Saccharomyces cerevisiae S288C: one gene and its partners. Changing the gene in region 3 together with the main gene of any one other region gives a genetic interaction. Each region holds a gene or a part of one and is shown on either strand. Other genes may lie near its edges.

The links.
Region 1: of NCR1 (region 3) and BOR1, a mutation in one rescues a mutant of the other (synthetic rescue), as found in Saccharomyces cerevisiae (one study listed by BioGRID).
Region 2: mutations in NCR1 (region 3) and AGE1 together harm fitness more than expected from each alone (negative genetic interaction), as found in Saccharomyces cerevisiae (2 studies listed by BioGRID).

What each region holds. Positions count from the first base shown.
Region 1 is NC_001146.8:116,937-122,688, forward strand, and holds BOR1 (Bor1p), read left to right. Parts: upstream 1-2,331; coding exon 2,332-4,062; downstream 4,063-5,752. Other genes in the region: MET2 (homoserine O-acetyltransferase), read left to right, coding at 413-1,873; GOR1 (glyoxylate reductase), read right to left, coding at 4,182-5,234. UniProt on the Saccharomyces cerevisiae protein: Functions in boric acid/borate export across the plasma membrane, and thereby protects yeast cells from boron toxicity. Involved in the trafficking of proteins to the vacuole.
Region 2 is NC_001136.10:1,486,254-1,491,445, forward strand, and holds AGE1 (GTPase-activating protein AGE1), read right to left. Parts: upstream 2,738-5,192; coding exon 1,289-2,737; downstream 1-1,288. Other genes in the region: putative serine/threonine protein kinase SPS1, read right to left, coding at 1-785; YDR524W-C (uncharacterized protein), read left to right, coding at 3,150-3,239; YDR524C-B (uncharacterized protein), read right to left, coding at 3,345-3,545; API2 (Api2p), read left to right, coding at 3,652-3,981; SNA2 (Sna2p), read left to right, coding at 4,343-4,582; RBA50 (Rba50p), read left to right, coding at 4,841-5,192. UniProt on the Saccharomyces cerevisiae protein: GTPase-activating protein (GAP) for the ADP ribosylation factors ARF1 and ARF2. May be involved in the endocytic pathway.
Region 3 is NC_001148.4:543,099-550,256, reverse strand, and holds NCR1 (sphingolipid transporter), read right to left. Parts: upstream 5,627-7,158; coding exon 2,114-5,626; downstream 1-2,113. Other genes in the region: AEP3 (Aep3p), read right to left, coding at 1-1,771; transcription factor TFIIIC subunit TFC8, read left to right, coding at 6,409-7,158. UniProt on the Saccharomyces cerevisiae protein: Involved in sphingolipid trafficking. May recycle sphingolipids between cellular membranous compartments.

The DNA of each region.
Region 1 (5,752 bases), on a different chromosome or scaffold from region 3:
TGCTATTACTTGTACTTATTTCTTGCTATTGTTAGTGGCTCCCCACATTGACGTATTTTCACGTGATGCGCCTCACTGCGGAAGGCGCCACACATTGCCTGCAAAAAATTGTGGATGCACTCATTTGATAGTAAACTAAGTCATGTTAATCGTTTGGATTTGGCACACACCCACAAATATACACATTACATATATATATATATTCAAAATACAGCTGCGTCCAATAGATGAGCTTCCGCTTCGTTGTACAACCTACCTGCTATCTTGTTCACGGATATTTCTTGCTTTTAATAAACAAAAGTAACTCTAGAACAGTCAAGTCTTCGATAATTTTTTTAGTCACAGGGTCCGTCTAAAGTTTCTCTTTATTTGGAATAATAGAAAAGAAAGAAAAAAACGTAGTATAAAAGGAATGTCGCATACTTTAAAATCGAAAACGCTCCAAGAGCTGGACATTGAGGAGATTAAGGAAACTAACCCATTGCTCAAACTAGTTCAAGGGCAGAGGATTGTTCAAGTTCCGGAACTAGTGCTTGAGTCTGGCGTGGTCATAAATAATTTCCCTATTGCTTATAAGACGTGGGGTACACTGAATGAAGCTGGTGATAATGTTCTGGTAATTTGTCATGCCTTGACTGGGTCCGCAGATGTTGCTGACTGGTGGGGCCCTCTTCTGGGTAACGACTTAGCATTCGACCCATCAAGGTTTTTTATCATATGTTTAAACTCTATGGGCTCTCCATATGGGTCTTTTTCGCCATTAACGATAAATGAGGAGACGGGCGTTAGATATGGACCCGAATTCCCATTATGTACTGTGCGCGATGACGTTAGAGCTCACAGAATTGTTCTGGATTCTCTGGGAGTAAAGTCAATAGCCTGTGTTATTGGTGGCTCTATGGGGGGGATGCTGAGTTTGGAATGGGCTGCCATGTATGGTAAGGAATATGTGAAGAATATGGTTGCTCTGGCGACATCAGCAAGACATTCTGCCTGGTGCATATCGTGGTCTGAGGCTCAAAGACAATCGATTTACTCAGATCCCAACTACTTGGACGGGTACTATCCGGTAGAGGAGCAACCTGTGGCCGGACTATCGGCTGCACGTATGTCTGCATTGTTGACGTACAGGACAAGAAACAGTTTCGAGAACAAATTCTCCAGAAGATCTCCTTCAATAGCACAACAACAAAAAGCTCAAAGGGAGGAGACACGCAAACCATCTACTGTCAGCGAACACTCCCTACAAATCCACAATGATGGGTATAAAACAAAAGCCAGCACTGCCATCGCTGGCATTTCTGGGCAAAAAGGTCAAAGCGTGGTGTCCACCGCATCTTCTTCGGATTCATTGAATTCTTCAACATCGATGACTTCGGTAAGTTCTGTAACGGGTGAAGTGAAGGACATAAAGCCTGCGCAGACGTATTTTTCTGCACAAAGTTACTTGAGGTACCAGGGCACAAAGTTCATCAATAGGTTCGACGCCAATTGTTACATTGCCATCACACGTAAACTGGATACGCACGATTTGGCAAGAGACAGAGTAGATGACATCACTGAGGTCCTTTCTACCATCCAACAACCATCCCTGATCATCGGTATCCAATCTGATGGACTGTTCACATATTCAGAACAAGAATTTTTGGCTGAGCACATACCGAAGTCGCAATTAGAAAAAATTGAATCTCCCGAAGGCCACGATGCCTTCCTATTGGAGTTTAAGCTGATAAACAAACTGATAGTACAATTTTTAAAAACCAACTGCAAGGCCATTACCGATGCCGCTCCAAGAGCTTGGGGAGGTGACGTTGGTAACGATGAAACGAAGACGTCTGTCTTTGGTGAGGCCGAAGAAGTTACCAACTGGTAGGGATAGATACCACACATACCTCAGGCATAACATAGATAAACCAGTACATGTATATCTATATCTATATTTATATATAGACAAACAGCATTAATTAACTATAACAAAGTTTCTAGTAACACTAACGGTAGTAGTAGATTTCTCTTTTTTGTCCTCGTTGTTAAAAAACGAAAGAAGAATGAAAAAAAAAAAAAAAAACAGAAGAGTAATAGCTAGTGCTTTAGAGCTTTCCACATTTTGACCGCACTTGTAGACAGCCACTCTTGCGTTGCCACTCGACATTACATGAACAACTGTTCTTCTCCCTGTAGCCTTAGCTTACTTCAAACTTTTTTCGTTTAGCGGGGAAAATACATCACTGAAGTAATTTTTAGATCACTCGTGGCGTAAAAGTAAGCATATCGCAATAATCATACTCATATCCTTTATCATCCAAAAAGTAGTAATAGCGCTGGCAAGGCATGTCGAATGAGAGCACACGAGTTACCGTTAGTCGCGGTTGTACAGCCTCCGACGAGTGTGCGCAAGCATTGGAACGGACAAACGATGAGCTAGACAGAGAATCATCGGTATCAGAAAGTAGAAGTGATGAAGAGAGCCACGAGAAGTTATCCCGACGTCGATTCCCGACGCTAGGTATAGGCATATGGCTCGATTTGAAGGACAGAATACCGTATTACAAGTCAGATTGGGTAGATGCGTTTAATTACAGAGTTATTCCCTCTATTGTTGACACCTACTTTAATAACCTGCTACCTGCAATAGCCTTTGCGCAAGATATGTTTGATAGGACTGATAATTCCTATGGTGTGAACGAAGTACTTCTATCCAGTGCAATGGCTGGAATTGTTTTTGGAGTTCTTGGTGGACAGCCCTTATGTATAGTGGGTGTTACTGGCCCCATCTCTATTTTTAATTATACGGTCTACGAAATTATAAAGCCTTTGAATACCAGCTATTTTGGCTTCATGTTTTGGATTTGTATGTGGTCTATGATTTTTCATTTAGTTTTAGCATTTACGAACGCCGTTTGCCTCTTGCAATACGTGACTACGTTCCCATGTGACATATTTGGATTATTTATTAATGTGGTCTACATTCAAAAAGGAATACAAATTTTAACAAGACAGTTCAGTGCTAAATCAGGGGAGAAATCAGTACAAGACGGATTTGCTAGTGTCGTGGTGGCGCTGGTTATGACTGCGTTTGGTCTTTTCTTTAAATTATTTCATTATTACCCCCTCTTTTCTCATAGGATCAGAACATTCATATCTGATTATTCAACTGCGCTTTCAGTGCTATTCTGGTCATCATTTACACATTTTGGTGGCTACTTGCATGATGTCAAATTTAAAAAATTGCCTATTACGAAAGCTTTTTTTCCTACTTCCAAAGTCAATAGGCCTCAAAATACTTGGCTGGCATATGAACCGATTCCTGTTAAAGACGTCTTTATTGCCCTACCATTTGGTATATTTTTAACAATCTTGTTTTACTTTGATCATAACGTATCGTCGCTAATGGCACAAAGGCATCAGTATAAGCTGAAAAAACCATCCTCTTTTCATTACGATTTCGCACTATTGGGACTTACCACTTGCATCAGCGGGGTTCTAGGAATCCCGGCGCCCAATGGTTTGATTCCTCAAGCACCATTGCACACAGAGACACTGCTAGTTAGGGATTCAAACCAAAAGGTTATCAGTTGCGTAGAGCAAAGATTTACAAATACGTTTCAGGGCCTGATGATTCTAGGGACAATGACAAGACCGTTATTGGTATGCTTAGGAGAAATCCCTCAGGCAGTACTTTCCGGATTGTTTTTCATTATGGGCATCAATGGCCTAATGACAAATAGTATTATACAACGGTTGGTTTTCCTGTTTTCAGACCCTAACAGAAGAGATAATACTTCACCTTTAATGAAAGTATCCAAGAAGTCAATGCTGATATTTCTTTCCTTTAGCCTGACGGGGTTTGCTGGTGAATTTGCTATCACAAATACTATAGCGGCCATCGGCTTTCCCTTAGTATTGCTTTTAAGTGTGTTAGTTTCTTTCTCGTTTGCTTATATTTTCCCGACTGAAGAATTAAAGATTCTCGATACTAATGTGGCACAAAAATTTACCATTAAAAATTTGTTATTGGAAAATATTCGTGATGCAAAGTTCTGTGATAAGCATGAAGACTAAACGCAGTTAGGATGTACAAAAGTCAACCACTTGTAATATATAGAAATTAATTGCATATATAAGAAGTATAATAATATTATCGCATTTCGAAAGGAAGAATAAAACTATGGATCTTGTAGTCAAACTAATGGCTTAGATTCATTGGGCCAGTCTTCATTTTGTAATTCCGGAACAATAGTCAAGACTTTCCCGGTCAATATCACATTCTTTGCATTTTCAACGACCAGTTCTTCCATTTTCTTTCTTGTTTCTACACTATGTGTGCCCATATGAGGCAGTCCTAAGACTTGGGACATCGATAATAACTCTTTGGATATTTTTGGCTCATATTCGAAAACGTCCAAACCAGCACTTCTAATCTTTCCAGAACGCAAAGCATCAGTCATGGCTTGTTCGTCTATCACGGCACCACGCGCTGTGTTAACAATAACTACACCATCTTTCATTTTTTCAATAGTCTCTGCATTGATTAGATGGTGAGTATTGTGGTTCAGTGGGACGTTTACAGATACTATATCAGAACGCTTCAAAAACTCCTCGAATCCTACATATTCACAACCATGCTCTTCTTCGGAAGGAAGCTGGTGTCTGTTATGATATATGAAATTCTCGAACCCAAACGGCTTCAATCTCTCTAAAATACAACGACCAATCCTACCTAGACCCAGTATACCAACTGTTTTCCCTTCAGGGTCGTATCCAAAGGGAGAACCACATGCGGGTCCTGCCTCCGGCCAGTTTCCCTCGATCAACCTTCTGTTACCAATACCGAAGTTTCTTAGGGCACCCAATAGCAAAAATACATGCGTATCAGCGGTAGCATTGCTAACTAAATCAGGAACATTGGCAACCTGGATGTGCCTTTTCTTGAATGGCTCAACATCAATTTGGTCATAACCAGCACCAGTATGACATACAGCCACTACGGAGGAGGGCAAAGCAAGAGCAAGCTCTTCATCAAATCTACCGGTGTTTTTCACACTCCTTGCTGTTCTAGTAATGACTTGTACTTGGGAGAGCTTATTTTGTGGGTCTTTTACCTCCCGCAAAAACTGTTCTCTAGTGGTGGATTCAGGGATGGTAATTACATCCGCAATCTTTTCCAATTCCCCCCAGGCTTGGTCACCAAAGGCATCCTTTCCTAATTTCAAAACAATTGGTTTCTTACTCATATTCTCTTCTCCTCTTCTTGCTCGTTTATGTATTGTTAATACTTCGGTATTGTAGAGCAATAATCATGTAGAAGGATTTCCCTAACGTAACAACAAGGCCAATAGAATTTACTTTTTATATGCTCGAGATTAGTGAAAAATGGGATAAGATTGCCTTGTTATCCCCGCCCCCTGCCAAGACTTTTGCAGATTTTAAGTCCGCTCTCGGTCCTACGTAATAAATGCCTGGAGAAGCTCTAGAGCTAATTGCGTCGTCCTTCAGGAATTCTGAAGACCACAGCAACGCAATCAGATGGCGGAACCACATTATGAAGCCAAGTGAGGTGTATACAGAGTTATACGTACTTTTCATCCATCCCCGCTCGGTTTCACCGTTCATAACGCTGGTTTTCACTGCCACTTCTCATATCAAGTCAGCGAAATAACCAGTAGTTGTCCTGTATATAGGCATCCCTACCGTTTGCTTTAGGAAGCTGTTCTGTGTTACTATCACAACTGGGTAGTGCCCTGTATGAATT
Region 2 (5,192 bases), on a different chromosome or scaffold from region 3:
GATGGCCGATCAGCAGGTGTTTTAACAAGACAACCAGCTACGAAATCCTTTGCTGCATCCGAAAAGGGACCTTGTAATTTTGGAGGCTTCCTTTTTGGTAAGTTAGTCATAACTTTCATAGGATCATATTTAGATAATGGGGGTAAGCCCTTGAGTAACTCATAGGTGGTGATACCCAAGGACCATATATCTGCTTTCTCATTATACCCATCAACTTCGCAGCAAACAACTTCCGGAGCCATCCAATACGGCGTTCCTACAAAAGTGTCCCTTTTCAAAGTGGAACGAATGTGGCCACTTACTCCGAAATCACCCAACTTAACCATACCTTCTTCATTTAGTAAAATATTAGCTGCTTTGATATCACGATGAATTTTCCTTTGCTCATGCAGGTATTTCAAACCCAAGGTGACTTCATGAATAATGAAGGAAACTTTTTCTTCAGGCAAACCGTTGACGTAACTTCGCTTCAGTAAATCTGAACATGATCCACCGCCGCAATATTCCATGACAATCCACATAGAGACATCTTCTAACATTGTTGCAATATAGTTTGTAATAAGAGGAGATTTCAATTCCGCCAGAAAAAAAATTTCCTGTGCTAACAGTTCAATGTCTTCGTCGGAATGCTCCAGGTTGACCACCTTAATTGCCACAATTTCTTGCGTAACTCTATCCACTGCTTTATACACATCACCAAAGTTACCTCTGCCAATACATGATTGGATGGAATATAGCTTCGATGGAGGGGTTCTTGACCTAATTGATATTTCTTTGCTTTCCATTTTGTGCTATTTTCTTTTGTTGTTTAGTAAATGAATTAGCTAGTAAAAAAACTAAATTTAAAAAGCAAATGCTGGTTTGCTTTCTTTTGAGAAATGTTTGCTAAGACAACTGACTAGCCAGGTGTTCACTAAATCGATAATATTGAAAATGGCAAAATAAGAAAAAAAAAGAAGAGAATTAGCTGGCTTTTTTTGGATAGGAAATATTAAATGAAGCAGTTGGAACCAAGATAATAAACAAAAACAGTATATTAAGTGACTCTTTAGTATATATCTGAACTAACAAGTAAAATATCGATGTTAGAAATGGTTACAATAGAAGAAAGTAGTGTCATTCTTTCGCGTCAAAAAAAAAAAATGGAATTTGTGTCTTTTTCGTTTTTATGTGTCATTTTTTTTTATCCCTGATGCCGCATTGTTCCGAACCTGGGACAGCTCCGAAATATAACTTGAGGAAAAAGTATTAGAAAAGGGAAAAAAATACAGTTAAATTATCATATATGTTATTTTTTGTCCTTTTTGGCCAATTTTAAAGACTTATGCATTGTTAATAAGTTTGTTGGGGACATCAAATTTTGAGAAGACTTAGGAATGGAGCTCAAACTCCACCTTTTACTTGCTGAGGCACTTCTTTCAGGTATGTTAACTCTCAAATCGTGTTTCTTATTGTAGGACGAAGCTGAATCTACATTTGAATGCATATTTAAATGCGGCCCTGATCTTGGACGAGAAGTATTTACAGCTTGGAATGTTCCGTACATCTCCAACTTAGTTTCCCAATATTCTAAAACCTTTGGAGACCAATTCGTAGTAATCTTCGGTAAATTATCTATATGAATACCATTGCACAATAAAAATTCTGTAATAAAAAAAATGGGCGTTCCATCAACAATTTCATAGTGCTTTAGGGAATATTGAAAAATGGAAGAATGGTTTAGATCATTCTGCTCTTTTTCGCTTGCCGTCAATTCTCTTAGGGAATATTTACTTTGGGCGATGGCTCTTTGCATCATGAAAACACTATCTAAATGGATAGCTTTAATTAAAGACTTCAAAGAAGCCTCTCTGCCTTGGTTGCTGTCGATAACAAACTTTTTAAATTGATACTTATCAATAATGAATTTGGATCTTTCCGAGTCATCAGAATTTGCAGTTATTTTTTTAACTGGAAAGTTCCTGAGATTGCTTTCATAAATGGCATTAACATTACTATTGGAAACATTATTTTGTAAAAGATGCATCAACTCTAACGAGGTGAAATTATCCAGCGTTAAAGATCTAATTTTGGAGATATGTGAACCCAGAGATCGATGAACGCCCGAACATTTGATACACAATATACACAATAAATTGATTGACACCCATTCTACTGTTGCGGTGCTACCGCAGTCACAACACTTCAAATTAGATTTATCAATTTTGCGCACGATTGATAGCAGTTCGTCTCTATTGGAGGCTCCCGCATTAGCAAAAGAGAAATGCTGTGTATGCTGTTTGGAGGAATCTGTTTTTGTAGGAATACGGTTATTACTATTACTGTTGCTACTGCTACTATGAATGGGATGAGTTTGATGATTGATGTGATGAGAATGCGTAGATTTGTGTTGGCTCCCACTAAGACGGGTTGATAAATATGTAAATGACAGTTGGGGTGAACGAAATGGAAATCCTGATGGTAAAGAAGGAGGTATTTGTAGTAATATCAATGATTCTTTCGCGGCCATTAATAAAGCGATGCTTTTTAAAATAACACAATATACCTCAAAACCTCGATCATCCTCGCAGCGGTTCGTTTGAAATTTACATCGAAGAGATTTAAGAAGAATATTAGTTAACTTTAACGCGTTGTTGCACCATGATGGATACTGTGCTTTTGATGCTGTTCTTGCTACTGTTCCTTTACTGAACAAAGGCACAACATTTTTGTTGATATCAGTAGTATAAAAATCCATTATTGATGGAACATCCAGAAAAATGTATTCAAAATGACTGGTACAGCTACCTTAACCACTCTGCCTCAATGTGATTTTTATCCTCTTTTTCGCTCAAATTTTTACTTTTCTTCTCTCTTCGTCAAGTACTATTATAACGACAGCGATAGGAAAAAAAACCAACATCGGACGAGAATAAATAATACTTTAGCGTTCAAAATGACATTCCTTTAAAATTCGATATGAAATTTTCCGCGATTAATTCGCCGAGAATACGACAAAAAAAAAGATAAACATCAGAAAATTCTATTATTAGATTAGATTTTATATTAGATAATGAATTAATACAGGTAATAATTATAGAGAGGAAATAAAAATAAACAGATAAGTTATTTACATCTTCTAACTAATATTCCATTACAAGTGAACGAACATGAAAAGATCATATAAAACCCTTCCAACATATTTTTTTTCCTTCTTTGGTCCCTTCAAGGAAAGAGCGGTCTTTCTTCTTGTTCTATAATAATATTATTAAAAAAGCACATAAAAACTTGATTGTGTAGCGATAATAAAAAAATTTTTTCGATATTATAGGAGTATAATGTCTCTAAACTCAAAATTAAAGAACTTAGAATAAGAAAGCGACACCGGCAGCGACGGCAGCACCGAAGACACCAGCACCCAAAGCGTTGGAAGCAGCAGCACCAGTGGAGATCTTGGTGCTGGTGGTGTTGGAACCGTTGGTACGGTTGGAACCATTGGTAGAAACGTTAGCAGCTTGGACAGCGGCAACAGTAGCGAAGGCAGCGACGATGGTCTTGAATTGCATTGTTTTGTTGATGATTAGTGTTGATTGAAACTTATGTTTAATGATGATTTTCCTCTAAAATCAAAAACAATATTAACTAATAAAGTAAATAATACAGTAGGAGAAGATGGAAAAGAAAATCAAGAATTTCTCGAGTTCCTTATATATGAGGAGAAAAGCCAGGAAAACCACCGCGATGACACACAGCACCATATCTCATGTAACAAACGTGAAAAAAGCGATGATTTTTTTTCTGCTTTCTTTTTCTCATTTCTCAAGCGGATATTCCGCTTGCAAAAAGAAAAGGCGTGGCTCTGGTCTTCGCTATTTTGGAAATAAACTTTGGCGTCCTACGCCCAGAAGCGGCCAAAGCGGCCAATCACGCCCGAAGACGGGACCGCACGGCTCCCAACGAGTCGTTTTTTTGGAACTGAAAAAGGCCCAACGTTGGGCCTAGGCCCTTACCGCGCCCATTTCGGAAACTGCATTACTTTTTCGGGACGTATTCTCGGGAAATAAGCAGGTCCAGATCCGCGTAGCATGAATGGGGCGCCAAAACAGTCGCGGGTAACGAAAGAGCGCAACCACGCGTATATTCCGGGCCGGTGAGGGGCAACGCGCATTGTCCCGGGGCGATATAATCCATGTACCGGAACCCGCACTTTTTCGACTTTCTTTCCCCTTTTCCTGTCTCCTATTGTGCGAGAAAGGTTTGATTGACAAGAGATCTTTACTGATCGATCTTAGTTAGTCCTCGAATAAGCATTTTGCAAGTACCAGTCATCGTATTAGAGAACATACAACTTTAGAATTACACTATGCACGCCCGCGACTGGTTTTTAGTTTTTATTGCAATTTTCATTCCTCCCTTAGCAGTCTGGCTAAAAAGAGGTTTTTTTACCAAGGATCTGCTCATTAACTTTCTGTTATTTTTACTAGGGTTTTTCCCTGGTCTGATCCATGCTTTGTACGTGATCAGCTGTCATCCATATGAGGAGAACGAGGCCCGGTACTCACACCTCTCCTCCTCGGATGATAACTATGGTAGTTTAGCATGAGTGACTCTTTCTACGTTATCCTCCTCCGCAGAATTTCGTAATAAGTGATGTGTGGCTCTTTTGCTACCCTTTTTTTTTCATTTCTTTCTTTTTTTTCTATTTTATTTTTTCTTTTTCATTTTTCGGTACTTCTATGTACCTGAAATGAATAATAATGTAATGGCAAGCCATCTCATCGCTGTCGGCTAAGTAAATCTATAGTTTAATATATTCATTTTCCCTCATTCAAAGAAGATAAATCACTCTGCCACCATCGTAATGGACTTACTGGGCGATATAGTGGAGAAAGATACATCTGACTCTGTTGAAAGTAATGACAATGGCACTCTTAGTACCAACAACTGTGGAACGGGATTTCCCGAGTTGTACAAACCCAAGAAAATATCATCTTGGAAGGAAAGACTAAGAGAAAAAAGAGCCCAAAAGAAAAAAACTAGTGGCAAGGATGCTGAAAAGCAACAAACGAGTACAGACGCCCCACTATCCGAGGCAAAATCTATCCATAATGAAAATATTAAAGTTCTGCAGGGAATGAGTGATGAACAAATCGTGCAAGAACGTGAGGATCTGTATAACTCTTTAGATCCCAAACTGATTGCCAAGCTATTGA
Region 3 (7,158 bases):
CATCATTGTCTTTGATATACGCCATTCTTTTTTCCAAAGCAGCCTTTGTGGCTATTGCTTTAACCCGATTTCGATATTCTCTTTTTTTCTGGGAAATGTTTGAGGGTAGGTTTGTGGGCTTCTGATGATCTTGTGCTGTATTGGTGCAGCGTAAAGTAGTGGGGATACAACCCAAAAAACGTAGTATTTTTTTTTGTGAAGAATCACTTTCTTTCCAAATTTTCCAAGAGAACTCACCCTCGGAAGCAATCAGGTTGCCCAACAATTTTCTTGCTTTTTCAATTGACTTTTCTGATAGCGTATTAGGACTACCAAATTTGAAAATTGAGTCTGCTTTGGTTCTCCAATAACTTGTCCGCAATCCAAATCCTTCACTAACCTTTAAGTCTTTGATATACTGTAGGACTGCCCCAAAATTCTTGGTGTTGCCATTCCTAACTAACGCTTTAAATAACATTTCGAACGTCTGAGAATCAGGTTTAATTTTGTAAATCTTACGACAAGTATTATAGCAAAGGAATGCCAAATCACTTCTTCCCTTATTAGCAAATACCCGCATGAAATGATTCATTGCCTCCGAGTCCAACTTAAAATTACTTTTCAAGTGCTGAAAACCATAGTCAAGTAATTTAGATGCGGTTTCAAGTTGTTCCTCGTTTAGTAGTCGTTCTATGCACAGATAGAACGTCTTACGGGAAATCGGTAGTGAATTTGCTGCTAAAACTTTTAAACAGTCCTCTGCTCTATAATCTCCGTTCCTTAGCACAGTATAAACAAAATTTACGTTAAAATTTCCTAAATGTTCACCCATTTGAACAATGTACAATTGTCTCGAAACTTCATCACGAAGAAAGTTATAACATGTCGTCCAAGTTATTACATCTGCAAAAACTCCATGATTACGCATACTTCTAAGATAAAAAAGGACCTCATCGTCAGGGTGCTTCGTTTTTCTAATATGCGAGTTTTTCACTACATTACGCAGTAAAAGATTAAAAGTGATTGTATTTGGTTTAGTCCCCTCAGCCTTCATTTGTGCAAATATTTCTCTACAAGACGCAAAGTCGAAGTGCTCACTGAAAAAGTATATTGAGTCATTATAAACTTGAGCAGAACGCAACGGCAGAGTCGTCTTATTGGTTGGATGAAGTAGGTGCCGCAGCATCTTACGCACAATACCATTTAGTTTGGAAGATGAACGAAAATTGAACTTTGTATGACTTAGTATTCCAATATAATTTTCAAACAATTGAGGGTTCTTTGAAAAGTCAGGGAGAGGAGGGATCTCGTCATTACTAAACTTAAGAAACTTACGAGTGAAGCGTTCTGGCCCTGAATTCTTCTCATTCGATGTGCAATCTATCAGTAGCGTCAATAGTTCTCTAGTAAACTCTTGAGACTTTGCTGTAAGAAGTTTCTGGAATTTATTCGAGGAATTCGTTTGTTTAGAGAACATATACATTCGTTTTGCACGTTCCTCATCATAGTCATCCCTAATTTGTTTCCTAGAAAGCGTTAAAGTCGGCAGGCTTGAAAGGTATTCCTTAACTTGCTCCCTTTCATACTTCACACCATGCCGTACTATTTTTTTTGCCTCTCCATTAACTGACGTTGATGTTGGGCTATCTATTATTTTTTCATCAACTTTCTTGACATTTGCAATTGGTATACCCTCTCTGAACAGGCCTGGAAATATTACTTTCTGATATAGTTTTGGAGCTTCTCTCCCACTTTTGGATAGTGCTTGTGTCAAACACCTTAATGTATTCATAAATATACTAAATGGCTAAGGATGCCCAAGAGTGCCAGAAGATGCCAGAACAAAATCACCCCGAAGTAATCGGTTTTAGTTCTTTTGGCCTTTCCTCTTTTGAAGTTCTGTGTGCGAAAATGACGATTTTCGCCCGAAACCAATAATACTTTTATGACACTATTAAAGATTAAATATAGTAGAAGTATCTAACTTCAATGCACGATAACAACGAAGCCTGTGTTAGTGTTATCATTTCTGACTCGAAAAATTTTCCCACAGATTTTCTGGTGTGGCATCAGAATAATTAACGAATTTTTACCTATTTTTTCACTACGTAAAATATAGTATAATCTGCTATGGCTAATCTTCTGCTTCGATGGAATCGTCCCTATAGCTTTCACCACCAAACAATGAAAGTAAAGCAGGTAAAAATAGGAGAGCATGCAATGCTGCTACAATGATTAGTGTAAACCACATTCTAAAGTAAAATACATCAAATATTTTCGATTGGGCGAATGCAAGTACACAAACTCCAATGAATTTGGTTAGAGTTATACCTTTGATGACGGACTCACCTATGGTATTCAAGGAATAGAGAACTCTTGAGTTTGCGTCTTTCTTGGTTTCACTGGGGACCACTGTAAATGATCTAACAATATGAACACAAAACTCGACACCCAAACCGACACAAATAATTAAATTGACTAAACTGACAGCGTTGAGTGAGATACCTAGTAGGGCCATCAAAGCACCAATATCTACGATAATCATGGTAACGACCAAAGCCAGTAAGAATGAGCTGCGTATATTCTGCAAGAAAACAGATGAAATGAAAAAAATTAGGATAATGGCACTCCCTATTAGCTTCAACGTCAATGGTCCCAAAGTTTGATATTGAACAAAAAAAATGTAAAACGGCGAGTATGCAAACATATCTAGTTCGGGGAAAGAACTTGATATCCTAACTCCATCACTATACGCCTGGATAAAGTCCTTTTGGGATCTCAAAGGATGATGAGCTGTTCTGAAAACTGACGCAGACACACTCGTTTCATTATAAACTAACGCAGTCGAATATGGCGCACGACCACCTAGAGGGCAGGGGTCACTAGGCGCATTAATCCATATGCTTAGGTATTCCATGAAGTCCTTGCCCTCAGGAAACCCTGACATGTTGTAATTCCAAGAACCCTGCTGGAAACAAGTTTCACAACGTCTACTTGGAAAAGAGGGAGGACAAACCTCATCTGTTCCCTTCTTTAATCTACAACACTGGTCGTTTTGAGGATTTAAAAACATGAAATAATCGTCCAGCCAATTAGCCAATGGCTCCGTAATTGTTGACCTGTGTCTTTCTTGCTCCAGTACATTAGCTAATGAGTCTCTTTCGCAAGTTGTAAATTTACCACATATTTTCTGTTGGTTTTGTCTTTTAGTCAAATCTAAATTCTTCACGACCATGTAAACCGGTGGTCCTACGTTTAGGAAGCTATAAACATCCTTAAAATAGTCAACCAGGTAGGAATCCTGTGGAACAGCCAATGTTTGATCTAGCCCAAATTGAATTTCTGGTAAGAAAACCAGAGATGTGAAAAACCAAGCCGAGAAGATAATGATTATGAGCCTCTTTTGCGTTAACATCTTAAAATAAAACGTTTTCAAAAATGATTCCTTAGTTTCTTCATTTCCGGTAATTTGTTTATAATTGGATCTCTTTTCGTAGAGAGACAAAATGGACACATACGCTGTTAGCTGTAATACTCCGTTGAATATAACAGAAACTGTGGAATATATAGCAAAATTATGGACAGCTGGCATTGTAACAAATGCAGCTATCAAGAAGCATCCGGTTTGACATAGCAATGACATTAAAATGGAAGGAGACATTCTCCCGATAGCGCTTATTATTTTTTGATCAATTGAATACTCCGGTTTTTGCTCGCAATTTCTATCATACTCATGTGTAATCAAGAAAATATTATCTATTCCTATTGCTAAAATTAGAAACGGTATTACTTCTGCTATGATCAATGTCGACTTCAAACCAAAAAGAGTTAAAAATCCGGCTGCACAAACAATAGAAGCCAAAACTATGAGTAAACCAGATATTCCAAGTAACAACCTAGTTTTCCCATCCTTTCTCCTCAAGGCCCATGTAGCATATAAAAACATCATCAGGTATGATATTGCAACGGTCGAGATATCATTATTATTATTAAGCTCTTTTTCCAAGGATATTTCGGTATTAAAACTGATCCTCAGGCCCTCGGGGACCTTTAAATCCAATAAATACTCTTCCAATCTTTCTTCCCAGCGATTAGCTGATTGAGTGTGGTTGGTCAATAGAAGTGTTACAACAAACGCATGCGCATTGAGAATATCATCGTCACTGAAAAGAAGATTAGTTTTTAGAGGTTGCTGGAAAGTAGGTAGACAGTTTACAGGAAATTTCCCACATTCCTGCAGTTCCCTTTTCCAGCTATCCTTGTTTGGTAAGGCCCCCTGAAAATACTGAGTAAAAGACTCTATTACGCATGTAGAATCTTCTGTTGGTCTGAAGCAGAGATCTTGGTATCCAATATTTTCTGACGATTGTAGCTCTTCCGTAATAAAATTTTCAACGTCAAACCACCAGTGAAGTGTCTCATATGATAACACAGGGCCTGTCTCATTCACAACAAATATTTGCTCTGTCCTGTAAAATGGCCCAAAATTATCATCGAAGTACTCTTTTTCTTTGAATTTTTCAGAATTTTTACTCACCCACAAATTAATTGGATCTGTTTCAAGAGTAGCGTACTGAAATATGATGAAACTGAATACAAAGATACTAAAAACAGTGGTTATTAATATCTTGTAGGGGTTTTCAACGGAAAATTGTCCCACTTTCGTAAATAGGTTAGCGAGTTTACCATTAAAAAAGTTAGTTTCATTATTGAAACTTTCGAATACATTCGTCTCTGATTCATCTAAGGAACCTGATTCTGGAACAATATCGTCGTCCACAATCATTGCCCCGTTTTTTTTTCTTTTACAGAGATAATACCACATAAATGCAAAAAGTGCACAGATTGTGTAAAAGATCAGAACAGAAAGGGAAAAACATGGCAGAGGGCCAACTTTACACACGCCATCTTTTAAAGGTTTTAAATGGGGGCAAGACTCTTGACAATCAGAACACGCACATTTATATTGAGCATCATCGCAAGCATAAACCTCATCATTAAATTCCTGCCATTCTTTTTCTTCATTTGCTAAATCATACTTGTAATTAATCTGAAAGGGGGATCCACCAAGCATAGGTTTAGCATCCCCCAAAAACTTCAAGAATTGACTGTAATTTTTAGCACCACCTCCGATTAGGTCCATCGCATAACCGTTGGTAGCAGAAAATTTAATATTCTTACATGAGTCATAAAATTCAGATGCCCAAGACGAATTCATGAAAACGTCTAATTCCGCAACAATATCTTTATCTTCTTTTGACTTTTCTACCTTGGTAATATTGACAAACCTTCCTTGGTCAGCAGCGCAAGTGAAGTGACAGAACAGGTTATTAAAATTCTTGAGGCATGCTGGGCATGAGGAAATTAAAGGTTGAGCCTTTTGTAGGTTATCTCTCAGTGCTACCACTTGATCTTTAGTACAGCAGGCATAACGGACCTCTTTCCACTCTTCACCACAAACTTCAACCAAAAGTTTGCTTGTTTCATCTGAAAGAACAGGAGGTTCAAAACTACGTGGCACAGGGCAAGGTAATTCGTTTCCAAATACTGACTTTTTCCCACAGTTCCCATACATGGCACAGGTAGCTGTTCCCTGAACGAGCCGCATCAGCTGGCCAACTAGTGCTATAATCCATAGCACATTCATGGTTTTACTAATTGAAGTTCTGCTCTTGTTCTTTTTGGAGATGAATTTAGTTATCTTCTACACAAGAACGTTGTTATACTGGTTGTTGATGTTCCTCTCGTTTGGCACTCCCGCTATATAAACGCTAAGGGGGTCACCCGAGAAGTTCAAGGCTCTTTATCAGAATATCGCAAATAATCTTTAGTACTGTAGGTAATGGGCTAGCGCCATCCAGAAGTCTAGTTTAATTGCCAAAAAGTGGCGCTCTTGATGTTAGTGATGGGAAGAGAATATCTTGACTACTCTATCGTTCGGTAATAGTTAATTACTGGGATGCGCTTAAATGATTATACAAGTTATTTATGTCGACGACTGCCTGTAGAAAAACAATGTAGCGAATACCTGCATAGCAGTTCAATAATAGGAGAGAATCATTGCGTATATATTACGAAATACCACAACTGCAACACATTTATGTAAGATTAAATTGTTGCTTACATCTGTTGTGACATTAGCCACGGTATGCAATTAGCTGAATGATTTATTTCAATAAAAAAGGAAATAGACCTTCCCAAAGATAATCCAACTTCCCAGCATTTGCTTTTGAAGTTTTGCTTCGTATTGGAAGGCTTTAAATGGCGTATTTCTTCCGTCATTTCGCACCTTAAGTGTATTCTGTTTCTTACGCGCAACGCACTTTTCTCAATAATGAGATCTAAACAATGATTAGACAGAATTATATATAATGAAAAAAGCAGCATGACTAACTTTGTTAGGAGTTAGGAAAGCCAATTCAATTCATAATGAAGCTTCTAAAGGACTTATTGGTAGATAGAAAGGAATTTGAGGATTGGAAGAACAATTTAACATGGGCTCGGGATGGTACTCTATATTTGACCACATTTCCTGATATTAGCATTGGGCAGCCAAAATATGCTAAAGACATTAATTGCAACAGTAAGAATTTATTTCATGTGAAAGAATTCCCGCTAGAATTTGAAAATAAACTGGATTTCGAGCTGGCGCAACAGAATGGGTTATTAAATTCACAACCTGTTTGTTATCCCAGAGTCTGTAAGCCATCACCAATAGACGATTGGATGGCCGTATTGAGCAATAATGGTAATGTTTCTGTGTTCAAAGATAACAAAATGCTCACAAATCTCGATTCAAAAGGAAACTTAAGTAGCAGAACCTACCATTGTTTTGAATGGAATCCTATTGAATCATCAATCGTGGTTGGTAATGAAGACGGTGAGCTTCAATTCTTTAGCATTCGCAAAAATTCAGAAAATACTCCAGAATTTTATTTTGAGAGTAGTATTAGATTAAGTGACGCAGGCTCAAAAGACTGGGTCACTCATATAGTATGGTACGAAGACGTTCTTGTAGCGGCGCTTTCAAACAATTCTGTATTTTCAATGACAGTTTCTGCTTCCTCTCATCAACCCGTTTCTAGAATGATACAAAATGCTTCGAGAAGAAAAATTACTGATTTAAAGATAGTGGATTATAAGGTGGTTTTAACTTGTCCCGGATATGTGCATAAGATA